Linked DNA regions of Ovis aries. The protein of the gene in region 1 binds, or shares a complex with, the protein of each later gene. Links are inferred from orthologs where the notes say so. Each region holds a gene or a part of one and is shown in the gene's direction. Other genes may lie near its edges. The genes, in order: THOC2, THOC7, THOC3, DDX39B, ALYREF, THOC6 and THOC1.

Region 1 (3,573 bases):
TTCTGTTTTATTTGTTTTTACTTAGTGGGTGTGAATTAGTATCTCACTGTCATTTTGATTTTGTGTTTTCTTAATGACTAATGATGTTGAACACCTTTTCATATACTTGTTGGCTATTTGTATATCTTTTGAAAAAATCTATTTAGATGTGTTGGCCATTTAAAAAATTGTATTGTTTGTCTTTTTGTTACTCAGTTGTAAGAATTCTTTATGTAGTCTTGATATTAGACACTTATGAGATACATATATACAAATATTTTCTCTTATAGGTTGTCTTTTCACTTTCTTGATAGTGTTCTTTGATATATACAAGTTTTTATGTTTGATGAAGTCCAGTTTTGTTTTGCTTGTGCTTTTGGTGTTATATTAAATAAGTCTGAAGAAAAATTTATGGCTGGTGGCTGATGAAAAGGGATTTTAAACTGATTTTTATATTTGGTTTTCCCTTCCTCAACTAATTCTACCATTCGTTATAGGAGTCCAGGCATGATAAAGAAAAGATAGAAAAGAAAGAGAAACGGGACAGTTCAGGAGGAAAGGAAGAGAAGAAACAATATCCTTTTCATCTTATAGATCTTTTTAATCAGTATAATGGAAAACTTTGATACTGATGTTATTTAGAATTGTACCCTTGTAATATGTGTCTAACTGCTTAAGGACTTTTAAAAATGGTCTACCTTTTAAATGGTCTCTCTAGTTAACCCTCTCAAATGTATGAAACATGGAAATGGGAGACTTGATTGTTTTTTTTAAACTTCTTTATTAACTGAGGTGGTTTTATGCCACCAAGGGATTTAAAGTCCCTCTGGCTCTATCACCAAGAGGAGGAGAGGAAACAGAGTCCCTTGGGCTGGGGGCATGGGGAATAGCAGAGCAAGATGATGCTGCAGCTGAGCAGAGCTGGTAGAGTCTGAGACTACTAGGCTGGTAAGAGTCAGGCCTGCAGGCTGAGGGATTGTACTAAAAGATGAGACACGATTTTTCCGCCCCCCCCCCCCCACCCCCCGAAAAGTTGTTTTCCCTTAATTTGTCATCTACTCATAAGTCCTCGGACAAGCACAGATAATGAAGACTTTCAATCAAGGTGAGTCTTCTCTTACCTCTTTCTCATTTAAAGATAGAAATACAAAATGAGGTATGATAATGTTGAAGAAACTAGATCCGTTTTTGCAAGACACAACTGTAGTGTTTCACCTAAATATAATGCTCAGGTCTTTGGGTAAAGATGTGAAAGAAGGTTCATGGTTATTTTTAAGCTATTTTCATTTTAAGCTTGCTGATTAAGTCATGCCTTTTTTTTTTTTCTTTTTTAAAGCATCAAGATGTGTTTAAAAACATCTGGCTTTCTCTTCACCACTCATTCCCATCTTCTCTGGATAATCAATCCATTTTTAAAGTACCTTATAGGTGGTGGTGGTATCTGCTTTTTACAGGGGAAGAAACTGAGACTCATAAGGTTAAGTTGAAGGGGGTGGCAGAGATATTACCTGACATGGCCAATACATAAACGTAGATCTTCTTGCCTACTAGTGTTCTCCCATCTTTTTGCCTTTCATGCCGACATGTTATTCAGAGATTTTTTTTGTCTTAAAGTTTCTTGCTTCTCTATCACTGCCCATGTTTTTCAAAGCCAAAAATATGGTCTGTGCTTTTAGTTTTGGAATTTAAAATAGGCAATTTTGTTTTCAAAGTAGTTATACCTTATATGAATTAAAAAAAATGTTTTATCCATCTTAAATTATAAGTGGACAGAGTGTTCAGAACCCTTAATATGATCTTTTTTGAGCACTCAGATCATCATTTGAAAAGTTATTGTTTGGTGATGCCTTAGGATTATTGAGGTATGTAGGATGATTTGCCCTCTACAGCTAATGGTTTGAGATGGCAGTATTGAAGTTTTTGAATCTTTTATAGCCAATTTTCTTGTTTCTGTTTTAGCTGTCACTTCTTAATGACATCAAGTATACTTACATTCTCTACCTTCCTCCTAATATTATTTGCTGCTTCTAATCTTTTATTAAACTGGATAGATAACCAAGGCTGTTTACAGTTTGAGTGAGAAATGTCTGAGAGCCTGTTCCATATAAAGCAGTGAACTTTAGAGTATGGATTTTGTCCTATTTATTTTGGCTACAAAGCAGGGATTTGAGGTTGCCAGGTAGGTAACTTCCTGATAGATTATGTGCTTTTTCTGTTTTGTTAGTCTGTGCTCGTTTTCTAAGTATTAGCATAGAAGGGAAGATGAGAGTTGTGAGAGAGCTCTTAAGAATTTAGTAGATTTTTTTAAATTAGGAAGATTATAAAAGAAACATTACCTGTTCTTAAATTCTACCTATCCCTTTACCTAACAACTAGCTGTCTTCCCTGGTGAATGATAAACTCTTAATATTTTTTTATTCTTCACCATAACCTTCCTTTTAGTTGGCGTTTTGCTTTTTGCTTTTTACTTCTTGCTGTCACCTGGTCCCCTCATTAAAAAAAAAAAAAGCTCTACCTCTTTTATCTTCATTAGGAATGGGCCAGTCATTGTCATTGACAGCTTTCACTGTGGTTTTCTATATCTCTCTTCTTGCGTAGACTGTTTGTGAAAGCACTGGTAGACTTTTCCTTTTTTTTAAGCTGTTCTGTCTTCTGTTGGATACCTTCTAGGGTTGGTCAAGTCTTTATGCTGTTCCTTTTCATTTAGAGTTCTCATCACTTCTGATTGGCATCATTTACCTTTCAGTATCAGTATCAGTTCACTCACTCAGTCGTGTCCGACTCTTTACAACCCCATGAATAGCAGCACGCTAGGCTTCCATGTCCATCACCAGCTCCCGGAGTCTACTCAAACTCATGTCCATCGAGTCAGTGATGCCATCCAGCCATCTCATCCTCTGTCGTCCCCTTCTCCTTCTGCCTCCAATCCCTCCCAGCGTCAGGGTCTTTTCCAGTGAGTCAACTCTTTGCACGCGGTGGCCAAAGTATTGGAGTTTCAGCTTTAGCATCAGTCCTTCCAATGAACACCCAGGACTGATCTCTACCTTTAGGCCACTTCAAATCTGCTGCTCCTTGCTCCCTTTTTAATTTATATTATACAGAAAGGAGAACTGCTACACATGTCACATTTCCGTGATTCAGAGATGTCATTAATTGTAAGATTCATTGTTGCTTTCTAGAACTGTTTTTTTTTTGAGAAAAGTGCATAGAGAAATGGCATTGATTTGTAAGTATCACCCTGATTTCAGAAACATTAAAATGATCATGTTAGAGTTAAGAAAATACAGTATATGAATGTGACCCAGATTAAATTCCTTCCAAAGTCTTATTTTCCTGTTTCATACTTTTTAGTTGCAAAATCCTTTTTGCTTGTTCTCTGTATTTCCTGTTACTTGTTTTTGCTAACGTCTTTGTCCAAATTCATCTTACCTCTCTTTCATTTGGTCTCTGGAACACAACTAAGTTCTTTGCTTTTAACCTTTTCCCCTAGTTTAATCTTTAAAAATTCCTGTCTATGAAAAATTTCCACTTAGAACCATTCTTTAGAGTCTCAGTTTTAAATTGATATGTATGGTCTTCAATTTATTAATATTG
Region 2 (3,573 bases), on another chromosome or scaffold:
TACATACGTATGTAAACAAGTGCACAGATCTTAAGTATACAGCTGAAAAGATCACAAAATGTCCTGGAAACATTTTCAGTTAGTCACCAAACTTTAAAAATCCCTTGAAAAACCAGATCTGGTAATAACCTCTCACTTTAGGTACTCAATCCTCAATTTCCCTACTCCCTGGTTCCTGCATTCATTTACATTTGAAATCCATTGTCCTCCATAAAGGAGTGTTCCTAGTTATCTGGGAGGAAGATGGGGTTTCCTGGGGGCTTGAAAGAGTAGAGGTAGGAAGATCAAAAATAAACTAAATAGCATCAATTGACCACTGGACTGCTCACCCACTGAAGGTTTACTTTTAACAAAGTTAAAACATGATTGTGACTTTATAAAAAAGTCAATTCCATTTTCTGAATTTTAATCTCTGCCAGGACTGTGTTTTGTCTCAGTCTCCTCAAATAACATTATTGGTGGTTAAAAGAGGAAACCATTAGTTTATATCTTTCAGTGTAAAATTAAAACACTTGATGAATCCGTAGCTGGAAACCCAATTCTAAACATGTTTATCTGATGTTGTCACAGAATAGATTTTAAAACTGGGCAAAAAAAAAATTGGAGCCATCTGCCTTCCAAAGTTTATCTCCACTGCACCTGCACTCAAAAATACTTCTGCCTACACACAGGAACTATTGTTTCAAGATTTTGCTGTTGATTCATCATGCAGGTTCTCTAGGAATTATTCACACTTTAAAAACGATTTTTTAAATGCCTGCATATGGTTGAAAACAAAAATTCTATAAAACCATAAAAATTAAATTGCATCCTCTGTAATACCTCTTATCACAAATAGCCACTATCACCAGTTTCTTATGAATCCTTCCAAAGATATTTGCTGAATACCTAAACACATGTGTGATGGGCACATACATACACAGATGGCTCCTTGTTTACACAAATGGTAGTAAAATATGTGCTTCTCTGCACCTGTGTTATTTTCATTTTACTTAACATATCTAAGGTGATTTTTATGATATTAATATATACATCCACACTGGTTTTTTTTGGCTGAATCTTACTACCTCTTTTTAAAAGCATGAGATTTAGCAATTATCTATTTATGTATATATGTCTGTTTCTTTATTGGCCCCCCTTGTGAGGCATGTGGGATCTTAGTTCCCCAACCAGGAATCGAACCCGTGACCCCTGCGATGGTAGCATGGAATCTTAACCACTGGACTGCCGGGGAAGTCTCTGCATATTATTACACGTAACAACTGTTTTATATTTAGCCAGTCTTTTCCTGGTGAATGTTTAGGTTTGCCATCTTCCTACTACAAGCAGCACTCTTAAGAACAATCCTTTTACATATATCTTTGTGCATGGGTGCACATATTGGAGAGGGAAATGGCAACCCACTCCAGTGTTCTTACCTGGAGAATCCCAGGGACGGTGGAGCCTGGTGGGCTACCATCTGTGGGGTCGCACAGAGTCGGGCACGACTGAAGCGACTTAGCAGCAGCATGGGTGCACATGCATCTGTAGGATGATTTCCTAGAACTGGACTAATGGGGTCAAAAAGCTATATGCATTTGGAATATTATCTGATTGTCCAGCTGCCTTGCAAAGAGCACACCACTTACATACTATCCGTGTATGTAAGTGTGATTTCTCAACACTCTTACCATCGCTTATTATCAGGTCTTTTGATCTTTACCAGTCTGAAAGATGAAAATGATATCTTACTGTGGTTTCAACTTGCACATCTCTTATTATTATGATCCAGCATTATCTTGTCCAGGAAGAACAGTAGCTCACGGCTGCCAAGCAAGCCCACTGCGGCCCTAATTGTTACTCAGCATTGTTATCTGCATTGCTTTTCTATTATCTCTTCTGTTTTTCTTTTCCTTGGAGCAAAAGGGAGACAGACATTAAAAAAAAAAAAAAAAAGTCCTCACGTGGAAAGAAGCGTTACCGATACAATTACTAAATTACACCCCCCAAAAAATTTCTTTTCTCTGACACTTCTCATTCTCTTTTTCTAGTCTCCCACTATGTCTTTCAATCTTCTTTTCTCTCTGTTCCTTTTACTAGTATCTTACAGTACTCAATGCCATGAATGCTTCAGGCTTTCTTCTGTCTGAACAGGTTTTGCCCACAAAGTTTCTCCAAGAATTATTGACTTATTTCTCTGGTAGTACCTGAAAATTATTTTTACTCTACAGCCTGGCAATAAAATGTCAGTTCTGTGAGGGCAAGGCTTTTCCCTGATATAACCCCAGCCCCTAAAACAGTGCCTGACATGAGACAGTTAATAACTTTCCATATATATACATGGAAATTATATTAAAACCTACCTAATGTAAAATGGTGTTGGAGAAGACTCTTGAGAGTCCCTTGGACTGCAAGGAGATCCAACCAGTCCATTCTGAAGGAGATCAGCCCTGGGATTTCTTTGGAAGGAATGATGCTAAAGCTGAAACTCCAGTACTTTGGCCACCTCATGGAAAGAGTTGACTCATTGGAAAAGACTCTGATGCTGGGAGGGATTGGGGGCAGGAGGAGAAGGGGACGACAGAGGATGAGATGGCTGGATGGCATCACTGACTCGATGGACGTGAGTCTGGGTGAACTCTGGGAGTTGGTGATGGACAGGGAGGCCTGGCGTGCTGCGATTCACGGGGTCACAAAGAGTCGGACACGACTGAGCAACTGAACTGAACTGAATGTAAAACTGACCATTTTAATTCTTTTAAGTACAGTATTTTATGTACAGTTCAGTGGCATCAAGTACATTTACATTTCAGTAGTTTTCTTCTAAATAAATGAATCTGTAGTGGTGTTGCTCATTTGTCCCTGAAAGTGAACAGGAACCAGAAAGTCATTTTAATTCACATTATTCTGTCCTCCAGACGAAGTCATACGGAAGCGTCTCCTAATCGATGGAGATGGTGCTGGAGATGATCGGAGAATTAATCTGCTGGTGAAAAGTTTCATTAAATGGTGCAACTCAGGATCTCAGGAAGAGGGGTATTTCATGTTGCTGCCGTTTCTATACTAATGTCCTACTGTGATTTTTTTTTTAGATCATACATATAGTGCTGTCAGTTTTTCATATTTTCACTCATTAACAGAGTCCAGAGTAGGTTTTTCTAGCCTTCCCTTCAGAGGCTACTTTTATGTTTATTAAAATGTGCAGAAGGTGCAGTGATAAGAATTGAGGGTTAAATTCAGACTTAATACTTTGGTCCCTTTTAAAAGCAAATAAGTGTTTAGTAAGACAAAATACTTACATGAAATTTTCTCTATTTTTTAAAAAAAGTACTAATAAAGTTGCTGCAAGGTTTTATATATTTGATAAATTTCTAACTTAGAGTTTTTTCATCATTTGAATTAGCTTTTCACATAGATAAATAATTATATAGAATGAAAAAATTGAGAACAGAATTGTGATGATAAAAACCATCTTAAAACATTTTAAAAAAGGATACTAAGCAAAATTCAAAAAATAGTTGTCTGAATTAAACTTATATTGCTAACAACTACAGTCCCATCTTTACATTTATAACTAATACAGTTTATAAATTC
Region 3 (4,110 bases), on another chromosome or scaffold:
CTCGCTCTGCCGTTGCATACATGGACTTGTGATTTGGTACCAAAGCCACCTTTGGAAGGCCTCACAAGAAATTTTACCGTATTTTTTTGTAAGGGGAATTTGGGTACATCAGAGAGAAGTAATCTCACTCTCCCACTTTATTCTCTCATTTTTTTCTACATTTATTATCAAATGCACGTGTTACCTTTTTAAAAAGTCTTGTATTTATGGAAATTTTCAGCCAATTTTTCACCACCGAAACACAGCCCCCAGCTCACTGGCCCTTCTCAAGCGACTTGTCTGGCGCTGGCAACTCACCACCTCTTTCTTCAGTAAGAAAATGCTGGACATGTGGTCTGAGGTATGGGCGTGAGGTGTGGGGACCAGTCCAAGGGGCATGAAAAGGCATTTACTCTTCACTCTGTGTATGTTATGTATTTTTGCATATATACGAATGCGCATCTAGAACAGCCTTCTAAACACAAGGAATTTGTCTCAAAATCATCCCAACAGCCTTCGGCAGCCTCCTTTCCCCGCAGCAAGTGAAAAAGAGAGTCACTCAGTAGTATCCGTATCCTTATAGCTTACGGAATTCTCCAGGCCAGAATAGTGGAGTAGGTAGCTGGTTCCTCCTCCAGGAGATCTTTCCAACCCAGGAATCAAACCCGGGTCTCCCGCATTAGCGGGTGGATTCTTTACCAGCTGAGCCACCAGGGAAATCCCAAACCTCTCACCTATTTTCCCAGAGAGGTTCACCGGCTCCTCCTGCAGTAGGAAGTAGAGAGCCTTCGGCTCTAAGTGAGTGGGCTGAAAGGTGGGAGTAACCCAGAAAAAAATGTGTTTTTAACTGACAGCGAACTGAGGTTTAGAATTGCGTTATTTCTTCGATTAAACAGGGATACAAATATATCTACCAAACAGTAGGTAAGGAGAAAGTTAAGGACCCTAAAAACCTCCTAGTGGCTAATGGAAGGGAAAGTCGCTCAGTCGTGTCCGACTTAGGCTACAGTCCATGGGATTTTCCAGGCAAGAGTACCCAGGGGTCGAACTCGGGTCTCCCGCCTTGTAGGCAGACACTTTATCCACTGAGCCACCAGGGAAGCCCCCTAATGATTAATAGTGAAGGAAATTTCAAGCGGAACCGCGACCACTGGAAAAGGTAAAGGCGGGAGCGCGCTGCATGCTGGGACTTGCAGTCTCTTCCGGGAGTGGTCCCCAGTGCGGGTGCGCGGAAGCGCGGGTGGTCTCTCCCGCGCATGCGTGCGGCGGCGGCGGCAGGGCTGATTGCCGCTAAGAATATTACTGAGCCGGTGTCCGGAATTCGTCATGGCGATTCCCCAGGCGTCCATGGGACCCTCAGCGCTGGGCCAGAGCGGTCCCGGCTCGATGGCTCCCTGGTGCTCAGTGTCAAGCGGCCCGACGCGCTACGTGCTCGGGATGCAGGAGCTGTTCCGCGGCCACAGTAAGACGCGCGAGTTCCCGGCGCACAGCGCCAAGGTGCACTCCGTGGCCTGGAGCTGCGACGGACGTCGCCTGGCCTCGGGGTCCTTCGACAAGACGGCCAGCGTCTTCTTGCTGGAGAAAGACCGGTTGGTGAGCCGCTGGGACCCGGCCCAGGCTAGGGAGAGAGGGGGTGTGGTGAGGCGAGGTTGAAGAATGGCGTGAGTGAGAGAGGGTGAGGAGGAGGGAGGAGGGAGAAGGGGTGTGGAGGTGAGGGGCGTGTGTGATGCGCGAAAGAGAAGTGTGGGGGGTGAGGCGGCGGGAACGGACTGATGAGAGGTGAGGATGGGGGTGATTGAGAGGAGGGCTGGTGGTTGGGGGCGGGGGACGGTGTACAGGGAGTGTGATAGTAAGGAGGCGTGAAGATGAGCGGGGGGTGAAGGGGAGTGTGGAGAATAAAGGCCGGTGGTGAGGATGGCGGGGAGACTTGTGTGGTGGTTTGGAGCGGCTGGGACAGTGGTGATGGGCTCCTGTGATGATGAGGAGAGTCCTTCTCAAAATGACAGGGCCTCTGTGGAATTGAGTAAGCGGGTTGGGACCCTTGGTGGAAGAGTACGGGTAGAAAACCACAAAGGAGGAAGGCCAGGGAGGGATAAAGAGAAAGGGCATTGGTGTGGACCCGGTCCTTAGAACTGTTCACACAGTGGGGAGGAAGGGAGGGTAGGGTGTTGGGAAGGGTTTAGGGGAAGTGATTTAGAAGGACTGGACTCTTTACTCATCCAAACTTATGTTGGTAGCCAGATACCTCGTTTTGAATAAGGTTAAGAAGTTACATGGGTAGGCGGGTACATATGGGTGAAGTGGTATCTGGATTTTGTTCTTTCAGGTCAAAGAAAACAATTATAGGGGACATGGGGATAGCGTGGACCAGCTCTGTTGGCATCCAAGTAACCCTGATCTCTTTGTCACTGCATCTGGAGACAAAACCATTCGCATCTGGGATGTGAGGACTACGAAATGCATTGCCACTGTGAACACTAAAGGTAACTGTTCAGAAGATGAGCTACTGATAGTCATTCATTTTAAATGTGCCTGGCCCTCTTGGTATGGGACATCCTGATCTGAATAAGACAGTCGCCAGCTCCAAGGACCTGAGAGTTTAGTGCAGGGAGAGACATATGTATTGAAAAAACTAACATAATATAACATGGTCATCCTGTAATGGATAGGTTTACAAGGTGGATACTGAGAATGGAAACACTTAAGTATGCCTGGGGAAGATAGGGAAGGCTTCACAGAATTTGAGCAAACCCTTAAGATAGCCATATAGATTTAGTGGTCACCTTGTAGTGGGTAGGCAGCTCTAGCAGGGAACAGCATGTACTAAGGGGTGGAGAATTTAGGAAACTGCTGATAGGGTAGAATGACTGATCTTGGAATAAATGACTTTGACAATTGGGGAGAAAAATGACCTGGAAGTTGTGTAGTACATTTATAGACTGTTCTTCCTCAGATATTGCCTTATAAACCTTGAGGCCATTTATTAAGTTATATTGGCTAAGATGTTATTGATTATAAGATGCATCAATATTTTATGTTTCATTAGAAAAGAAAATAAAGTTTTACTAGATAGTCATGATACACCAAAAATTTTGAAATACATCCTGATGCATTCTAAAATACATTACAGGTAATAAGGTATGAAAAACTATGCATCTTAGAATCAATAAAGTTGATGAAATTTGTGGGCTACTGGACTTTGTTGGCGAGACTTGTACCTGGAGGTGGAATGATATGGTTTCCCCAACTAGACAACTGGTGATATGTGAGTGAGTTAAGTATGTAGATGAACATTAAAAACTGATTGTATATATATTTTAATGCCTACTAGAAGAAAAGAACTAGCTTATAGTATTTATTGCCAAAGTGAAGCTATTTAAAAAATTTGGAGGGGTCAGTTTTAATAAAAGTCTTGAAGGAAGAAGTATAGCTATTAAATGGGTAGTTCAAAAATTGTGGAAATGGCATGTGAATGACTGGGGTTTGGGAAGTACAGGTATAAGAGAGAATCAGAGGCTCTGGTGTCAAGTACACATTTAGACCTTGGCTCTGTTACTTCATAGTTTTGATACTTTGGCCCATCTCTCTCTCAGTTTTTCGTCTGTAAAATGGGGAGGAAAAATGGCCCTTAGAGACATGTGAGCACTAAAGGGGGAAATGTGTAGATGAGTGTGCTGGACTTGTGGTTGGTCCTACTGATGAGGACCTTAGTGAATGAACTCTGGCGATAGCTCTAGTCTTTCTTTGATAACAAGATAAACTTCTGGAGGATTGTGGGCTAACAGTATCTTGCTGATCGTATCTGGGTTCCTAGGGGAGAACATTAATATCTGCTGGAGTCCTGACGGGCAGACCATCGCTGTAGGCAACAAGGATGATGTGGTGACGTTCATTGATGCCAAGACACACCGCTCCAAAGCAGAGGAGCAGTTCAAGTTTGAGGTCAATGAAATCTCCTGGAACAATGACAATAACATGTTCTTCCTGACAAATGGCAACGGTTGTATCAACATACTCAGGTGAGGGGGTTCTAAGTTTAAGGGACTGTCATGTCTTTGCACTGAGTGCTGTAGTGGATCCCGAGATGAATTAGATGTGAGTCTATCCTGAGGGAGCCAGAAGGACAAACAA
Region 4 (3,573 bases), on another chromosome or scaffold:
GACGTGATTACATGGCGGTTGGAGATAATAGAGTAGAGAGAGACCCGAGGCAAATCTTAACCCTGACCCGCAACTCTCGGCTCACCCATTTCCAGCAGTCCTTACCTCATTGATAAGCCTGTCTCTGATCTTCATTTATGATAATATGTCTCTTTTCTACCATAATTTTTTTTTCTTCTTCCTGTAGACATGCGTCGGGATGTCCAGGAAATTTTTCGCATGACCCCCCATGAGAAGCAGGTCATGATGTTCAGTGCTACCTTGAGCAAAGAGATTCGTCCAGTCTGCCGCAAGTTCATGCAAGACGTAAATACCCTTCTACCTTCTCTCCCTCCACTCCCCGCCCGCTGCCTTCTCCCCCTCCGCGCCCTCTTCCTCCAGACTCCCTTGTCCTTCAAGCGCCAAGAAGGGGGCACGCGCCCATTTGAAAGTGATGACTCCTTGAAGAGACACACAGAGGCAGAGACAGTTAGTGTTAGGGTCTGCGCGGCGCCAGGGAAACTCCGGAAGACTTGGTCGGGTTAACGTGAGAGCGGGTAGTGTTCGACTTTTTTTTTTCATCAAAGCATTTTTGAACCTCTTCTCCCTTTTGGGGGAGGGCAGGATTTTCTGCCCTACCACCCACCCATCGTCTTCTACATACCCCCTACAGCCACGCACCCTCCAGGTGGCGTCAAGCATACAGCCGGAGCCTTCTGCTCCCCAAAGTCATAACCTCCCGGTGGCAGGAGAGCAAGAGAGGGACAGACAGATGGCAGGGCATGTCCAAAAGAAGAGCAAACAGCACACACGAATCCGCTCCCTCCCCACCTCCAGGGGTGGGGGCCTTTGGCACCTCAATCCCCGAGTCCATGCTCCTTCCTACCCGTACCTCCTCGCACCCGTCGGAACCTCGGTTGATGTGAACCAGCAGCAGAGAAGCACCGTGGCGCGGCGGGGGAATGCGGACGCACCCGGCGGTGGATGGCGGCAGCGGAGGCCGCGGGGAACCTGACCAGGAAGCTGAGGACCAAACCAGCCTCTTTTTCTGTTCCCGGTTTTTTTCCTGAACCCAAGGCGTGCCGTGCTCCCTGTTTCTTTCCGTTTGTGTTGGTGGGGAGGGGTGTTCTGAGTAGGGTGGTAGATTTTTATTTTTTCTTCTTTTTAACTTTTTTAATACTCAGAGGGATATGGAAAAAGTAAAGTGAAGCGCTCCACTTGGGTGTAACCAGGTGGTGGTAGGGTCTGGGCTAGGCGGGCCCTTGTGTAAGCAGTGGAGTGTGTTCTTTCCCTCCCTCCCTGCTGTGCTCCTTCCCATGGACCATAACTCTTACCTTTAGCTGTATTTGGGGTTCAAGTTAGATTGGAAGGAAGCCATGGAACTTCTCTTTGGAAATCCTTCCTTTGCTAGTCTGCATTCTGAAGTTCAGCTTCTGGTTTTCACTTATGACACACTTACCCTTTCCCCAAATCTTGTACCCTGGGGTTTTACGTTAACCATGGCTTCCTGGTGGCTCAGATGGTAAAGAATCCACCTGCAATGCGGGAGACCTGGGTTGGGAAGATCCCCTGAAGAAGGGAAAAGTTATCCACTCCAGTATTCTTGCCTGGAGAATCCTCATGGACAGAGGAGCTTAGTGGACTTCAGTCCATGGTGTCACAAAGAGTCGGACACGACTGAGTGACTAAACACAGCACACAAGGGAAATTGGGCTTTAGAGTTGACTCTTGTGTCAATTACCACTTTTTTTTTTTTTTTTGGTGAATGCTATCTACCTTCCCTTCAAGGGTTGTGTGTGTTTGTTTTGTTTTTAAAGATGACTGAGTAACTCTGCTGCTCTGAATTTGCTTCTTACCACCACTCATTGTACCTTCCTCGTAACACTATAGATGGTTTGATTTTTCGTTCAGAGACCAATCTCTCTCAAACTGTTTCCTTGTGGTCCGAGAGCAAGTTGCTACTCAATCTTTGCCTCTTTTCATGGCATTTTGACCTTAAGTCCATTGAAGTATTCTGATCTTCCACCTTCCTAATGGAGATATGGGAAGACATCTACCTACCTTATGGAGATATGATTCTCCTAGTTGAGAGAATATGCAAATGGAGCTCTGCCCTGTATTAAACCAGCTCTAATGGAGTTATTCTGACCTCGAGTCACTGTTGCCATGATTTCCCAGGTGTTTGCTTCATGTTCTCGCTTTGAGAACCACTTCCCTTTGTTTTCTTTCCTCCACCACCTCCGTTTGAGGTAATGGCATCTTGCCATTTGGTGGTTGGACTCTGCCCTTTCCTCCCTGCAGAGTTCCTTTCCTATAACAGTTTTCAGTTGGGAAATCTTAAAACTCAACTGATAGGAAGGAAATCAGATCTAATGTCCAAAAGACCACATTAAAATGTGGGTATTTTTGGGGGTGGGGCTGGGTTTTCAATCTTCTCTCTTCTCCCCATCCCCCCATGGGGTGTATTGGAGATCAACTTCCTCCACCCCCCCAGGTTTAACCCCCCCACTCTGCCCTCCTCCCGTTCCCCACCCCTTCCCTCCCCCCTCCCCCCCAGCCAATGGAGATCTTCGTGGATGATGAGACGAAGCTGACGCTGCATGGATTGCAGCAGTACTACGTGAAACTGAAGGACAACGAGAAGAACCGGAAGCTCTTTGACCTTCTGGATGTCCTTGAATTCAACCAGGTTAGTTGTCCAGGGTCCAGTAGGGAGAATGAGTACATCTCCAACTGTTGGCAGAAACCTTTTTATTGAGGAAGCCACGTATGCCATGTGAAAGAGAATAGTGGAAAAAGTCTTTTAAATGAGAGACTTAGGGGCTGAGCGTGAGCGCAATGGGAACTGCTTTTCTGTTCCATGCCTGATACAGAAAGTAAACCTCAAATTATAAAATCTTGAGTCTTAAAGTTAATGAGAGTCCCACAATAATTAGACAGGTTCTTAAATTTGTGTTTTGCACTGCTCACCAGGGAGAAGTGTTTCATTAGTGTGATTTGTTTGCACTAAAAATCATTTTCTATAAGCTCTTACTATGTTTGATGTTTTGGTGAGTGGGAATAATGGTCATGTCTTTCCAGACTTACGTCAGGTTTTTACCGTTCTCATGTGGTGGCTTCATTCTTGTCTCCTAATGTATCTGGTAGTTTTGGTTACTGTTTTCCATATCCTCTGCAGCATGTTTGTCTGCTCAGGAAAAGTCAGAGCCAAGCGGGAAAGACTTAGTATTTAGAGCAGAAGAGGAACTATGTGATGGGGACTAAGGAGTTCTTTTAGAAGAGTGTAATTACTGAGAACTCCTGCTCGTAATTTTTCTCACACACACCCACATGGACGCACATCCCTCCAATCTCATACACACCACGCACGCACACAGGTGGTGATATTTGTGAAGTCTGTGCAGCGTTGCATTGCCCTGGCCCAGCTCCTGGTGGAGCAGAACTTCCCAGCCATTGCTATCCACCGTGGGATGCCCCAGGAGGAGAGGTGAGTCAGAGATGGGCAAGATGTTTTGTGTCCTTGTGAGCAAAAGGGACCATTGAGAGAAGAGAATCTCAACACTTTCTGCTTTCCTTTCTCATAAAGGCTTTCTC
Region 5 (4,214 bases), on another chromosome or scaffold:
AGAAACCTGAACAAGGACTAGGAATGACCGGCAACAGTAAGGCAGTATATTGTCTAAAGTGACAACAGTGCTGGTAAAAGTCAGCACTGATATAGGACATCACATTTAGCATTTGCTGCGGCTTCCCTGGTGGCTCAGTGATAAGGAACCCGCCTGACAATGCAGCAGATATTTAGCATTTACCTTAAAACAGCTGGGCAAAAACAGCCAGATATGAAAACGTGTTATTCATCATTTATGTGCTGGATTGAGGGGGAAACCTTGTAACGTCACAATTTTTTGTTGACTTGAAATTTTCAAATACAATGTCTTAACACATTTTTGTGTTCCACGGGTCTCATAGTGACTTTTATCAGGATAGGAAACTGTGCTCTTTTCCTTACAAAACTTTTGACGGGATCTTTGTACAAATATGGGCCCAAATAGCCTGGCTTTTCTCTGTCAACTTTTCTTGGGAAGAGGAAACCAAACCCCAGAAACGCTCTGCGAGTACTTCTGGGGACACGCCAAGGCCAGATGATAGGCACAGCTCGAGAGACAGCGGGCAGGGGACACTCACAGTCCGGGCAGCAGCCATTGAAGGCCATCCGGCAGATGCCGCAGTTCTCGTCGTTGGCTACCCAGAGCCAAGTGGCCACGCCGTTCCAGCATTTGATCTTCACCTTCATGGCGCGAGGAGCCTGCGAGGAGGGAAGAGACCACCCGGCTGTGCTGAGTCTGCAGAGCTACGGCACCTGGAAGCCAAAGAAGGGGCGTCGCCCCGAGGGTCGAGCGTAGGCAACAGTGGCCGCCGAAAGGCAGTAAGAGGCTGTCTGCAAGGGGACTGGGGCGGGGGCCGGGTCCTCGGGAAGACCGGGAGGACCGGTGTTGGTCCTTCGCCAACACCGCACTTCTGCCTCGGCGTCCGCAGAAGGGCTCGTCGGCTTTCTTTAACAACCGCAGAAACGCGCCGTGCGCTACTTCCGAAAGGGCTGACGGGGCTGAGAGATGGAGACCCAAGCCCGCTCCCTACGAGGTCACCCCGGAAACAACCCTGGCGCGGGCCGCACTCACTCCCGCCGCTGGACTAGGGTGCGGGTTCCCGGTGCGGTGGGGGAGGGGCGAGGGAGAGGCGCCACGCTCGGCCACGCCCCCAACGGCCGCGCCCCCGCCGATCTAATCGCGCGCCGCACCACCCGCCTTCAGTTGGCAGTGCCGGCCCCGCGCGGGAAGGTATATAAACGCCTGTGGCCGCGGCTCGGCACTTCTCAGAGGCGCCCGCCGAGCTCCTTGGTTCAGCGCGCACGCGCGACCTCGCCCCCTGAGACGCCGAAGGCCCGCAGCCAATCCGCGGTCGCTCTGAGGACGCGGCACCGGAAAACCCGCGAGCGGCGCTGGAAGTGACGCGCCGACGTGCTGACGCGCGGGCTCGAGCCGAGGCCGATTCCGCGCCCGCCATGGCCGACAAAATGGATATGTCTCTGGACGACATCATTAAGCTGAACCGGAGCCAGCGAGGCGGCCGCGGCGGGGGCAGGGGCCGCGGCCGGGCCGGCTCCCAGGGTGGCCGCGGCGGCGGAGCCCAGGCCGCCGCGCGAGTGAACCGAGGCGGCGGACCCATTCGGAATCGGCCGGCCATCGCCCGCGGCGCGGCGGGCGGCGGCGGCAGGAACCGGCCGGCGCCCTACAGCAGGGTGAGTGTGGAGACCGGGTGGCGGGCCGCGGCGAGGGAGCGAACCGGCAGGGCGGCGCACGGGCGACCGGCGGGCCGTCCGGGCGGCCGACCGACTGACCGACTGGGCCGGGGGGCGCGGGCGCCGGCCGGTTCGGCGGGCGGGAAGGTCGCTCGCCTGCCGGGCACCAAGGCGGAGACCCTGGCGGCCTTTGTCTTAACAGGGCGCCCGGCCTCACGGCGCTGGGGGCTGAGGGGCCGTTGGCGCGGCCGCCCCGGTGGCGGGAAGTTGGTTGAAGGGAACCGAGAAGTTGCGGGACGTGTGGCCGCGGCGGCCGGGTACGGCCTGACGCGGGCGTGAAGCGGAGGCTGCGGGTCTCTCTCAGCGCCTGCCTCCCCGCCGAGATGGGGGGAGGCTCTTGCTGTGGCCGTGAGGGCGAGGGCGAGCCCTGGAGTGAGACTCACAGACCTTTTTCTGTTCTTGTGTTTTCTTTTCCCTCAGCCGAAACAACTTCCTGACAAATGGCAGCATGACCTTTTCGATAGCGGTTTTGGGGGTGGTGCCGGCGTGGAGACCGGTGGGAAACTGCTGGTGTCAAATCTGGATTTTGGAGTGTCCGACGCTGATATTCAGGTAAGGGACTGGAGTTTCTTGGTGGGCGGGTCACTCCGCACGGAATCGGTTGTGGCGTTTGGGACTTGGCCCAGAATCCCCCACACGCACACCTTGGGACGACAAGCTCTCCCAGGCACCGAAAGGCCAGCCACTGTTCCCTGTGATGGGCTCCAGGAATGCAGAGCAGAGGTTGAGCTAGAGTTGAAAGCCTGACCAATGTGTCAGTTTGTGCTGGAAGACAAGGCCCCAGCTTAGTCTGGGGCGCTGCTGTTCTTCCTTGCTAAAACGTGTTTTGTAGATGAAGGCACTCTGCCCAAGCTCTTCTGGCAGAAGCTTGGTTGACTGTGCTCCGATTCTGTTCCTGGAAGAGCTAGGCTACTTGTTTTCTTTACGTTTTGCTTGTTTTAATGGTTTGTTGGGAGGAGAAAGCACTTCCTTTGTAGAACTGACATAGCACAGAGCAGGATGGTGCCAGCGCCGCTCTGGCTCCATTTGCCTTAAGCCCCATGTCTTACTTGGAATTTCATCCCCTGTCTTCTCACTTACCCTCACCCCCTGGGTTTTGTTAGTGACATGATTCTCAAACATCTTTGGTTGAAGCCTCTTTTTTTTTGCCTCTCTTTCCTCCCCTTTTTCTTTTTTTCCTTTTCTTTCTTTCTTTTTTTTTTTCGGTTGAACCCTAAAGGCCTTTAAATTTGCTGCCTAAAATGGTTAAGTAATGACATCTTGGGGGTCAGTCCAGGAGATGGCTGGGCAGGGTACTGGGCCTTCCTGGGTTCAATTTCCCAGAGCCCAGCCATTTACTTTGCCTTGGGAGGACAGAGCAAGGCCAGTGAGCACTCACAGTGTCTCAACACTTTTTTTAAGGTGGTTTCTGGCATCCACTGGAAACCGCTTTTGGTGAACTCCACTTCCCGCTGTGTGCCTGCGGCCGGAGTAGCCCCACACTCTGGGTTCCCTCTCCAACTCCCAGCCTGCCTGAGGTCAGGGCAGTTTCCATGGCAGCGCTTGACTTCAGGCTTTGCGGCAGGCTTGAGTAGGAGGAGAGGGAAAGGTGAGCCAGAATCTGCCCTGGGGGAGGGGCTGGGTCAGGGCTCCCAGTCAGAGGGCCCTTGGAGCTGGTCCACAAGTGGATAGAGCCCCTTGCTCTGTGATCTTGGCCTTGGCTGCTTCTTGGCACAGTCCTTGGGTGTGTTGTAAATATTCCTTTGTTGAAGAAGATAGCAACTAAATCTTTGCCCTTCATTGGTGGGCTTTGTGATCCTTCACCTGCATCGTGGTATAGATGTCAGGTTCCCAAGTGGGCAGGAGCCCTCGGGCCCAGCTGCTCCGGGAAATTGCTGTCCCACCTGTCCCATCCCATACCCCAGGTCCCACCGCCACTTCCCTGCCCCACCACGTGTATGTCTTCCTCCCAGGGAAATACCCCAAAGCAGTTTACACTTCCAGGGAGTGTCCCTGGGCCACCAGAAGAAAAATTGCTGTGCTAACAACTGCTCTTTCTGACTCTCAGGAGCTCTTTGCTGAATTTGGAACTCTGAAGAAGGCGGCTGTGCACTACGACCGATCTGGCCGCAGTTTAGGAACAGCTGACGTGCACTTTGAGCGGAAGGCAGATGCACTAAAAGCTATGAAACAGTACAACGGCGTTCCTTTGGATGGTGCGTTTGGGATTGGACCCAGAAAGGCTGCAGCGCTGTAGCTAGTTTGCGGAGCCAGAGGCTGGCCCCATCCCTGCAAGAGTAGGGTCCCCTCTGCTTGAGGACACTTTGTGTTCGCCCCTTTGTCTCTCTTCCACACTGCCACCTCTCATGCTGCCCCCCACATCTGGACCAACCTCTTGTGAATCCCCATCCAGCAAGCTACGTCCCTCCCCTCCTTCAGCTCCTTCCGGAAGATTCACTTCTGTGAAGCCTTCTCAGAACCACCATAGTACAACTCTTGAGT
Region 6 (4,258 bases), on another chromosome or scaffold:
GGGTTCCAGATGAAGCTTTCATTCACTCAGCAATCTTTATTCAGTTCTCGGCGGGGAGGGGATGGCCTCCTTTCCCATGTTCCTGCCCCTTTCACCTCAGGGCTCTGTGTCCTCTGTTGAGGGGAGGTCCTGGTGCCCAGAGGCCTGGTCTGGAGGAAAAGCAGGGCAGCTGGTCCCTTCCTGTGAGTGCTGCTCTCCCTTGTTCAGGGGAAGAAGGAAGTGGGGGGGGGGGCAGGGGCACTCCTCCCCAGATCTCAGAGCTCCATCATGTCCCCAGCTGGGGATGCAGGGTAGTGGGGGGTGGGAGTGTCCCCCAGCCTCAGCAGCCGGAGAGCCTCAGGGATCAGATTCCCAGGGTAGCGCCAGAGAAGCAGCTCAGAGCAAGGGCTTCTGGAAGAGGAAATAACAGGACACAGGGGCAGAGGCTGGCCTGGCAGAGCCACGCCCCACCTGGTCCAGGTCCCCAGGGGCTCCTGGACTGCTGGCACCTTCCAAGGAGCCAAGTAGGGAAACAACAGAGGTTGGCGAGAAGCTAAAAATAGCAGAGTGAGGCAGAGCCTGGAAATGGGCTCCGAGGACTGGGTATGATACCCTGGAAGGCCCAGCCGGAGGACTGTGGATGGTGCCTACCTGAGTGGGGGCAGAGCTGGGGGGAATGCCCTGGGGGGGCTGCAGTAAGGGTGGTCATTGTGCAGGCTGAGTTGAGAGAAGTGGGTGGCCATGTTCTCTTCGGACAGGAACTGCTTTCGCAGGGGCTCCCTGGAGAGAGACGGGGGCGCAGGCAGGCTGGGATTCAGAGGAGAGGTAGCCTGATGGGGACCTGAGGTGACGGAGGACTTGGCGGGAGTCCCTCCCTGCCCCCAAACTCACTGCTCCTCCTCCAGGCGCCGCTTGGTGCTCATGGGCACAGCTCCTCGGAGAGGGGAGCTGGGAAGAAAAGAGAGCTAGGAGCACCCCACCCTCTTGGCGCCATCCCCAGGATCTGCCCGCGTGAGCCTGCAGCGTCAGCCAGCAGCCCCCCGGCCCATGCCTGTCGCTGACGTCTAAGTCACCCTCTCGCCCAGACCATCCACGAGCCTGCCTCGGAGGTCTCCAACCTTGTCTCAGCTTATGCCCAAGCTCTGCCGATAAGCCCCACCGCGTCTCATCCTGCAGACCTGCTCGAGGCCCCAGCCAAAGCTCCTGGGACCCTAGGCCGGGCCCAGCCAGGGTCCCACACACACCTCGCGTCCAGGCCTCCAGAAGCCCCCGAGGCGGCCCGCGGGTCGCGCTGGGCCCGACCCTGGGGGCCTCGCTCCAGGGGTTGCTGCAGGATCATTGGTGTTCGGGGTCCTGCGGGCAGAGGGGTGGGATCCAGGCAGCAGGGGCGGAGCCTTTGAGGGCGTGACCCAGTGCGTGGGGCGTGGCTTTAGGCGCGTGCGCTGCCAGGTTCCGCGCAGGCGCGGAAGAAGAACCTCACGCGGCTAGAAGGCGGGTCCGCTCAGCGGGGTGGGGGAGGGGACCCGGCGTAGCGGGGTTGCGGTGGGCGCCATTTGGTGTTGGGGTGTCTTCTCGGTGGTCACCTCTGCTCCTGGAACTCGGGTTACGCGGTGGCCGTCTTCACGCTGGGCCGGCCAACGGTATAGGGTAGGTGAGGAACCGCGAAAGGGAGGCGCCCACTGGCACTTCCGGACTCGTGAGGCTGCGTTGCGCGCGGAGCACTCTGGGACTTTTAGTTTCGAGATGGAGCGAGCGGCGCAGCAAGCGGTGCCTCTGGGTCAGGTGAGGGTGGGGCGATGCGCAGTGCCTTCTGGGATTTGTAGTCCACGTCTGGCTCCGAAGGGGCGCGGCGGGGAGTCGTGCCCTGAGCACTGTTTTGCGTGGGCTGTTGGTGGGATCGGATTCTGACCCAGGGGAGGGAGGATAACCCAGAAATACCTCAGGGGCCTAACGTGAAAGTCATAGGATGCGGATCAGGGGTCAGTACGTTTTTCTGTATTGGAGTAATAGAGTTTTTTAAGCCGTTTCTGAGCGAAGACAGAAACTGCGACGCTATGTACAGTAGCTCATCCAATCATGACAAAATCTCCCATGAGCTCCATTAGACAGTTAAGGAAACCGGGAGGAGAGGCTGAGTCTTTGCTCAGATTTCCACTGGGCATCATGCCTCAACTCTCCTCTTCCTCACCTCCCTGGAGCCGCCCCTGGGACTTAAATGGGCAAGGCCCACTTGGTGGGCTGTCTCAAAGGAGAACTGGGTGATGGGAGGCCCGACTGCTGCAGGGGAAGCAGGAAGAAGTGTGTGGGTCAGAGGTCCCGGATGCCCGAGCCTGCCTTTATCCAGCCTCTCTCCACAGATGGAAGTGTTTCAGGCTCTGCAGCGGCTGCACATGACCATATTCTCCCAGAGCGTCTCACCCTGTGGGAAGTTCCTGGCTGCTGGCAACAATTATGGACAGATAGCTATCTTTAGGTACCCTTGCCCCTGCTCCCCACTGTCCATGAGCTCTGGCACTTGGCCCTCTGGGGGGCTAATGCCCCCTTCTTCTGACACTCAGGCCCCTCTCCCCTTTCCCTTCAGCTTGTCTGCTGCTTTGAGCTCCGAGGCCAAAGAGGAAAGTAAGAAGCCCATGGTGACCTTCCATGGTGGGTGCAGACGTTGAGTCTGGCTTGGGGGACCCCAGGGTGGATGACAGGAGCAGGACGAGGTCACTCAGGTTCTGTGCTTCCATTTAGCCCATGATGGGCCCGTCTACAGCATGGTCTCCACTGATCGACATCTGCTGAGTGCTGGTGATGGGGAGGTGAAGGCCTGGCTTTGGGCGGAGATCCTTAAGAAGGTGAGTGTGGAGCTGGGGGAAGGGTGAGGTACCCAGACACAGAGAGCCTTTGAGGCCACCCAGTGCATGGGGTCACAGAGTCTAACACAATTCAGCGATTGTACAACAAGCATTTCTCTCCACGAAGGGCTGTAAGGAGCTGTGGCGTCGTCAGCCCCCATACAGGTGAGCCAGGCCCTGTGAGCAGAGGGCACCTGGGGGTGAAGGTGCCACCTCACCAGAGTTGACTCTGCTTTCCTTTCCCCAGGACCAGCCTGGAAGTACCTGAGATCAATGCTCTGCTTCTCGTGCCCAAGGTTCGAGCCCTTCGTAAATTCAGGGCTCTTCCCTGTCCTGTTTTTGGCCCAGATTTTGATCCTTCCCCTCTCCGTGGCCTGACTTGACCCTGACTTCTGACTCCATCCCACCTTCCTCTGCAGGAGAATTTGCTCATCCTGGCGGGGGGAGACTGTCAGCTGCATGCAATGGACCTTGAGACAGGGACCTTCATGGTGAGAGAGCAGGGCCAGGGGAGCAGGGGCAACGGCATTCCTCCCGGGTCTTGTCCTGACACTACCTCTCTCCCTGCAGTGGGCCCTCCGGGGCCACACGGACTACATCCACTGCTTGGCACTGCGGGAGCGGAGCCCTGAGGTGCTGTCGGGCGGCGAGGATGGGGCCGTGCGGCTTTGGGGTAAGGAGTGTCACATCGGAGGGAAGGCTGGTGGTGAGGGAGCCTGAGGCGAGGAGGATACCTCTCGAGGTTCTTCCTCTGCAGACCTGCGCACAGCCAAGGAGGTCCAGACAGTCGAGGTCTATAAGCACGAGGTGAGGGCACACCCCACGTTCTGTCCTCCCTCCTTCCTTCCTGGGCATCCCCGGTGTCTTCACCTTCCGCTCTGTTCTCCCCCCTCCCAGGAGTGCTCGAGGCCCCACAATGGGCGCTGGATCGGATGTTTGGCAACTGACTCGGACTGGATGGTGAGCCAGGCAGCGTGCAGGCTGGGGTGGCAGCTCGGGCCCTGTCTGGCTGAGGGCCCATGGCTCACGGTAACTTGGGACCCCCAACTTCCTGCCCAGGTCTGCGGAGGAGGCCCAGCACTCACCCTCTGGCACCTCCGATCCTCCACACCCACCACCGTCTTCCCCATGCGGGCGCCACAGAAGCACGTCACCTTCTACCAGGACCTGGTGAGGCCCTCTGTCTTGTTTCTGCTGTCCCTGCCGCGCTCCCCCTCCAGGCCTGAACTCTGAGCTCCCTCCCTGTCTTCCACAGATTCTATCAGCTGGACAGGGCCGCTGTGTCAACCAGTGGCAGCTGAGTGGGGAGCTCAAGGCCCAAGTGCCTGGCTCCTCCCCGGGACTGCTAAGCCTCAGCCTCAACCAGCAACCAGCAGCCCCTGAGTGCAAGGTGGGTCCGGCCAGGGGTGGTGGGGACCCTGGGAGGCCAGGGCGTTGGG
Region 7 (3,038 bases), on another chromosome or scaffold:
CTCATGGAAAAATGAAGGCTGCCCAAGTTTTGTGAAAGAAAGGTAAATGTATACTCAGCTCAAGCAGTATGAGAAAGGCATTTCAGAATATAGCTTGACACGATCAGTTTACATGACATCCGGATCTGTGTCAGTGTGTTCATGTAACAGTATAAACTGTACTCTATAAAAATACAACTGCTTTGATTTACTTCTGTTATTATCAAAGGGAAAATGCTTGCTGTGTACCCACATCTTGTCGTTTGTCCCCTCATGATGAGTGTGATAATATGAAGCGTCCATGTACTTTAGGAAGAAAACAGTAACTAAATTTTCTTGTACGTTTAACATTGTTCCATCTCTGCCATCCATCTGAAGTCCCAGTGTGTTTTCACAGAACGTCAGACAGCAAGCCCACAAGAGCAGTACGGAAAAGAGCAGCGCCGGAGGACTTCCTGGGGAAAGGGCCCAGCAAAAAAATTCTGATGGGCAAGTAGGTAAACCTGGCTCCATAGCGGGGGTGTCATCACAGAAGCTTTTACATTGTGAAAATATTGCTCTAAGAACTCTCCAGGTTTTGTGTTTTTCCAAGTTTCTTGTGTTTGGTATGTACATATATGACCAAAGCAAACTACACCTGATGAGCCTGTAGGGTTCATACGAGACAGAACTTCCGTTTTGTCTCCGGCTTCCAAGGTCCATGGCTATAGGTTCTGCCTTATTTTCCACGTCAGACAGTCCACTTGCTGTCAGATTGATGCGTCGTTTCTGGCTGTTGCAGGGTGCTGTAATCCTTTCATTTCTTCCACCTTCCAGTTAACTACTCTTCTCTTTATACTGCATTCGATTATTTTAGAAAGAAGTTAATAGTCATTATTACTTAATAAAATATATGCTCATATAGAAAATTTGCTAAATACCAAAATGTAATGATCAAAACTCATCGCCGCCCCAAAACTCACTATTTACTCCAACTATTTTTATAGCTTTAACATATAAGAGAATGGTGTCCATAAACAACATATTTTTTTGTGTGTGTTTTGTAGTGATGAGTTAACAAGGCTTTGGAATCTCTGTCCTGACAACATGGAAGCCTGTAAATCAGAGACAAGGCAAGTTTAAAATGTTTCATATGAAGTGTTGCTTTTCTCAAATGTTAACTAGCATAGAACTTTTTGTCAGCTATAAGCAGAGCTCAAAAGAAATTTTAAAATTTATTGTGGTTGACTTCTGCTCAGCATAATATAGCTTTCCGTAGAACACCTAGAGGTGCTGATAAAATAATTGTAGAAATCACAAGAAAGAAGAATTCACAAAAGGGAGAATGAAAAATCGGAGTAAGAACTACAGGTTGGTTACTTGTAGCTGGGGAGCAGTGCAGGTTGAGTCCCACTTTGGGAACCAAAGAACGTGGGTTTTATAGCAACAGAGCACAGAAAGTATGGCTTCAAGCCTGTAGACTGGTCACTGAGTGCCCCTGGGTAAAGCTGAGGCCCTCAACACACTCTGTTAAAAAAAGGGCCATGCGGAAGGAAGAGGGACTTGCTCACTGGCACAGGAAGCAAGGAGCTTATCCACTCCCACCTGAGATGTGGGCAAAAAGAAAAAGGTATTCCCTGAGGAATTATAACCATATCTGCTGTTATGTGGCCTCTAAGAGTTTAAACTTATACTGCCCGCAGCAGTGTGAAAGAACAACCTAAGCTAAGAGGGTGAACTAAAAACTCCCAGGCGGCTGGCAGAAAGCTTTTTCTAGCGAGAGGGGGAGATCACATCTTCTACCTAATTCACTCAGGGATTCTACAGATAAGTCTAAAGATAAGCGCACCATCCAAACCTAAAACCATGACTAAGAATCAACAGGTAGAATAAGCAACTAAAAGGAACATGACAGTCTCAAAAAGGACCAGGCAATTTGAAAAAAACAAGTAACTCTTCTAGCAACAAGAAATTATAGCCATTTTGTACAACACAGAGAATATAGCTAATGTTTTGTAATAACTGTAGATGGAAAATAACCTTTAAAAATTGGATAAAGATTTGATGTCTTTTTTAAAAAAGAAAACACAGCCAGTTGTCATTTCAGTATGACAAAATTTAAGTCTCTTTGGAGAGACCTTTTAGCCTGCTTGCGTGTATCAAATTTTACTTCTAAAGACAAATTGAAGAAAGATGCAGTTAAAAATCAATCATGCCACCACGGTAACAATCTAAACTAAACTCAGTGTGAAACCATATTGTCTGGGTCTCATTTCAGTTTGGTTCTGGTTTTTAAAAAAATTACCCATGGATGTGAAAACCTCCTGCTTGCTGGTCAAATTTAACTGCTCTCAAGCCCCGGGCCGCCCTCTGCGGCAGCGCTGCTGTACATGGCAGCACACAGCGCTGTGTGTTCCCCTCCAGGCTAGACTGTATATAACCGGGGCCAGGGGCACTACACTGCCCTCCACTGTCCCCTTGAGAAGTTCAGTTTTGCATCACCTCCTTAAAAATCTGAGTTCCTAAGTAATCCAGTTGTAAATCAGTGTGGTTAATACTAGAATCTTTATTGCCTCCATTTTATGAGTATTAAGCACATACATGATCTTCACTGGTTATTTTAACACCCAGGGAATACATGCCAACTTTGGAGGAATTCTTCGAAGAAGCCATTGAACAGGCAGACCCTGAAAACATGGTCGAAAGTGAATACAAGTAAGTAATGTTTCTCATGAGCTGATTTCCTCTATCTTAAGCACCGCATATATACCAGAACACTAAGGAAGACCACTGATACAAGTAGTACTTTTCGCTTAGATGAGGTTATCTTCCAGCTTCACGTTACTCCATGTCCTGATTTCAACGACCATTCCCATTTTGACAAACAAGCAACTTAGAATGCTTTCTGTCAGAAGTGGAAAGATCCCCTTAGAACCTGTCTGTCACCTCCTTTCCCTGTTCCCCTTCAGTTCACGGTATGTCCAACAGCCACTGACCTCGTGGGGGCATCCAGATCACTTGCAGAAACTTTTAAATGGAACAGATCTGTGCTCTGGATTCTCTGTGGCTCACCGATTTCT

What was found.
Region 2: THOC2 (region 1) and THOC7 share a complex: the UniProt entries of both Homo sapiens proteins name them as parts of the transcription/export (TREX) complex. The link is inferred for Ovis aries from reciprocal best matches to the Homo sapiens genes THOC2 and THOC7.
Region 3: the proteins of THOC2 (region 1) and THOC3 are in contact, whole or in part, in a cryo-EM structure (PDB 7ZNL), measured with the Homo sapiens proteins. The link is inferred for Ovis aries from reciprocal best matches to the Homo sapiens genes THOC2 and THOC3. Residues at the interface, in NP_001075019.1 of Homo sapiens: Tyr395, Arg396, Pro401, Lys402, Gly403, Ala404, Lys405, Gly406, Ser407, Pro446, Ile447, Ala450, Arg454, Cys500, Asn501, Ala502, Cys503, Met504, Glu506, Pro563, Arg566, Gln567, Lys570, His573, Tyr603, Leu604, Thr605; in NP_115737.1 of Homo sapiens: Asp193, Met196, Ile208, Val217, Gln218, Asn221, Ala222, Pro224, Ser225, Ala244, Asp245, Ala246, Leu247, Ser249, Trp251, Asp252, Asp254, Glu255, Leu256, Val257, Cys258, Val259, Cys261, Ser263, Leu265, Asp266, Pro268.
Region 4: the proteins of THOC2 (region 1) and DDX39B are in contact, whole or in part, in a cryo-EM structure (PDB 7APK), measured with the Homo sapiens proteins. The link is inferred for Ovis aries from reciprocal best matches to the Homo sapiens genes THOC2 and DDX39B. Residues at the interface, in NP_001075019.1 of Homo sapiens: Lys550, Tyr551, Met553, Lys554, Arg555, Leu556, Thr557, Lys558, Glu559, Tyr582, Gln586, Lys589, Tyr590, Asp591, Asn592, Leu593, Pro596; in NP_004631.1 of Homo sapiens: Leu282, Asp283, Val284, Leu285, Glu286, Phe287, Asn288, Gln310, Asn311, Phe312, Pro313, Asp335, Phe336, Gln337, Arg338, Arg339, Arg355, Ile420, Ile424, Glu425.
Region 5: THOC2 (region 1) and ALYREF share a complex: the UniProt entries of both Homo sapiens proteins name them as parts of the transcription/export (TREX) complex. The link is inferred for Ovis aries from reciprocal best matches to the Homo sapiens genes THOC2 and ALYREF.
Region 6: THOC2 (region 1) and THOC6 share a complex: the UniProt entries of both Homo sapiens proteins name them as parts of the transcription/export (TREX) complex. The link is inferred for Ovis aries from reciprocal best matches to the Homo sapiens genes THOC2 and THOC6.
Region 7: the proteins of THOC2 (region 1) and THOC1 are in contact, whole or in part, in a cryo-EM structure (PDB 7ZNL), measured with the Homo sapiens proteins. The link is inferred for Ovis aries from reciprocal best matches to the Homo sapiens genes THOC2 and THOC1. Residues at the interface, in NP_001075019.1 of Homo sapiens: Leu155, Phe156, Tyr157, Lys158, Gln160, Asn163, Leu164, Leu165, Arg166, Asn169, Glu170, Ala173, Lys174, Ile176, Ala177, Gly180, Gln181, Asn195, Lys197, Ser198, Leu199, Ile200, Gly201, Cys202, Phe203, Asn204, Leu205, Pro207, Asn208, Arg209; in NP_005122.2 of Homo sapiens: Asn134, Arg138, Asn141, Leu144, Arg145, Lys149, Thr153, Cys156, Gly157, Gln160, Leu161, Ala164, Arg165, Phe167, Gln242, Phe245, Arg246, Tyr297, Ala299, Lys300, Phe301, Arg319, His320, Leu323, Gln324, Ile327, Tyr331, Arg373, Phe374, Lys376.

What each region holds. Positions count from the first base shown.
Region 1 is NC_056080.1:107,630,478-107,634,050, reverse strand, and holds part of THOC2 (THO complex subunit 2), read left to right. Parts: intron 1-476; coding exon 477-605; 3' UTR 606-1,038; coding exon of another isoform or gene 1,039-1,066; 3' UTR 1,067-3,573. UniProt on the Homo sapiens protein: Component of the THO subcomplex of the TREX complex which is thought to couple mRNA transcription, processing and nuclear export, and which specifically associates with spliced mRNA and not with unspliced pre-mRNA.
Region 2 is NC_056072.1:37,741,537-37,745,109, forward strand, and holds part of THOC7 (THO complex subunit 7 homolog), read left to right. Parts: exon of another isoform or gene 1-2,602; intron 2,603-2,708; exon of another isoform or gene 2,709-2,897; coding exon 2,898-3,015; exon of another isoform or gene 3,016-3,573. UniProt on the Homo sapiens protein: Component of the THO subcomplex of the TREX complex which is thought to couple mRNA transcription, processing and nuclear export, and which specifically associates with spliced mRNA and not with unspliced pre-mRNA.
Region 3 is NC_056060.1:5,174,671-5,178,780, forward strand, and holds the start of THOC3 (THO complex subunit 3), read left to right. Parts: upstream 1-1,261; 5' UTR 1,262-1,305; coding exon 1,306-1,572; intron 1,573-2,305; coding exon 2,306-2,462; intron 2,463-3,793; coding exon 3,794-3,998; intron 3,999-4,110. UniProt on the Homo sapiens protein: Component of the THO subcomplex of the TREX complex which is thought to couple mRNA transcription, processing and nuclear export, and which specifically associates with spliced mRNA and not with unspliced pre-mRNA.
Region 4 is NC_056073.1:26,836,324-26,839,896, forward strand, and holds part of DDX39B (spliceosome RNA helicase DDX39B), read left to right. Parts: intron 1-187; coding exon 188-306; intron 307-2,536; coding exon 2,537-2,668; intron 2,669-3,356; coding exon 3,357-3,466; intron 3,467-3,565; coding exon 3,566-3,573. UniProt on the Homo sapiens protein: Involved in nuclear export of spliced and unspliced mRNA. Component of the TREX complex which is thought to couple mRNA transcription, processing and nuclear export, and specifically associates with spliced mRNA and not with unspliced pre-mRNA.
Region 5 is NC_056064.1:50,497,976-50,502,189, forward strand, and holds the start of ALYREF (THO complex subunit 4), read left to right. Parts: upstream 1-1,404; 5' UTR 1,405-1,436; coding exon 1,437-1,673; intron 1,674-2,153; coding exon 2,154-2,285; intron 2,286-3,780; coding exon 3,781-3,928; intron 3,929-4,214. Other genes in the region: ANAPC11 (anaphase-promoting complex subunit 11), read right to left, coding at 560-668. UniProt on the Homo sapiens protein: Functions as an mRNA export adapter; component of the transcription/export (TREX) complex which is thought to couple mRNA transcription, processing and nuclear export, and specifically associates with spliced mRNA and not with unspliced pre-mRNA.
Region 6 is NC_056077.1:2,938,477-2,942,734, forward strand, and holds the start of THOC6 (THO complex subunit 6 homolog), read left to right. Parts: upstream 1-1,426; 5' UTR 1,427-1,722; coding exon 1,723-1,761; exon of another isoform or gene 1,762-1,958; intron 1,959-2,336; coding exon 2,337-2,452; intron 2,453-2,560; coding exon 2,561-2,625; intron 2,626-2,715; coding exon 2,716-2,819; intron 2,820-2,946; coding exon 2,947-2,984; intron 2,985-3,066; coding exon 3,067-3,115; intron 3,116-3,238; coding exon 3,239-3,310; intron 3,311-3,389; coding exon 3,390-3,492; intron 3,493-3,576; coding exon 3,577-3,626; intron 3,627-3,716; coding exon 3,717-3,779; intron 3,780-3,878; coding exon 3,879-3,989; intron 3,990-4,074; coding exon 4,075-4,209; intron 4,210-4,258. Other genes in the region: HCFC1R1 (host cell factor C1 regulator 1), read right to left, coding at 255-390, 631-786, 871-927, 1,158-1,318. UniProt on the Homo sapiens protein: Component of the THO subcomplex of the TREX complex which is thought to couple mRNA transcription, processing and nuclear export, and which specifically associates with spliced mRNA and not with unspliced pre-mRNA.
Region 7 is NC_056076.1:35,630,432-35,633,469, reverse strand, and holds part of THOC1 (THO complex subunit 1), read left to right. Parts: coding exon 1-42; intron 43-376; coding exon 377-472; intron 473-1,025; coding exon 1,026-1,091; intron 1,092-2,589; coding exon 2,590-2,673; intron 2,674-3,038. UniProt on the Homo sapiens protein: Component of the THO subcomplex of the TREX complex which is thought to couple mRNA transcription, processing and nuclear export, and which specifically associates with spliced mRNA and not with unspliced pre-mRNA.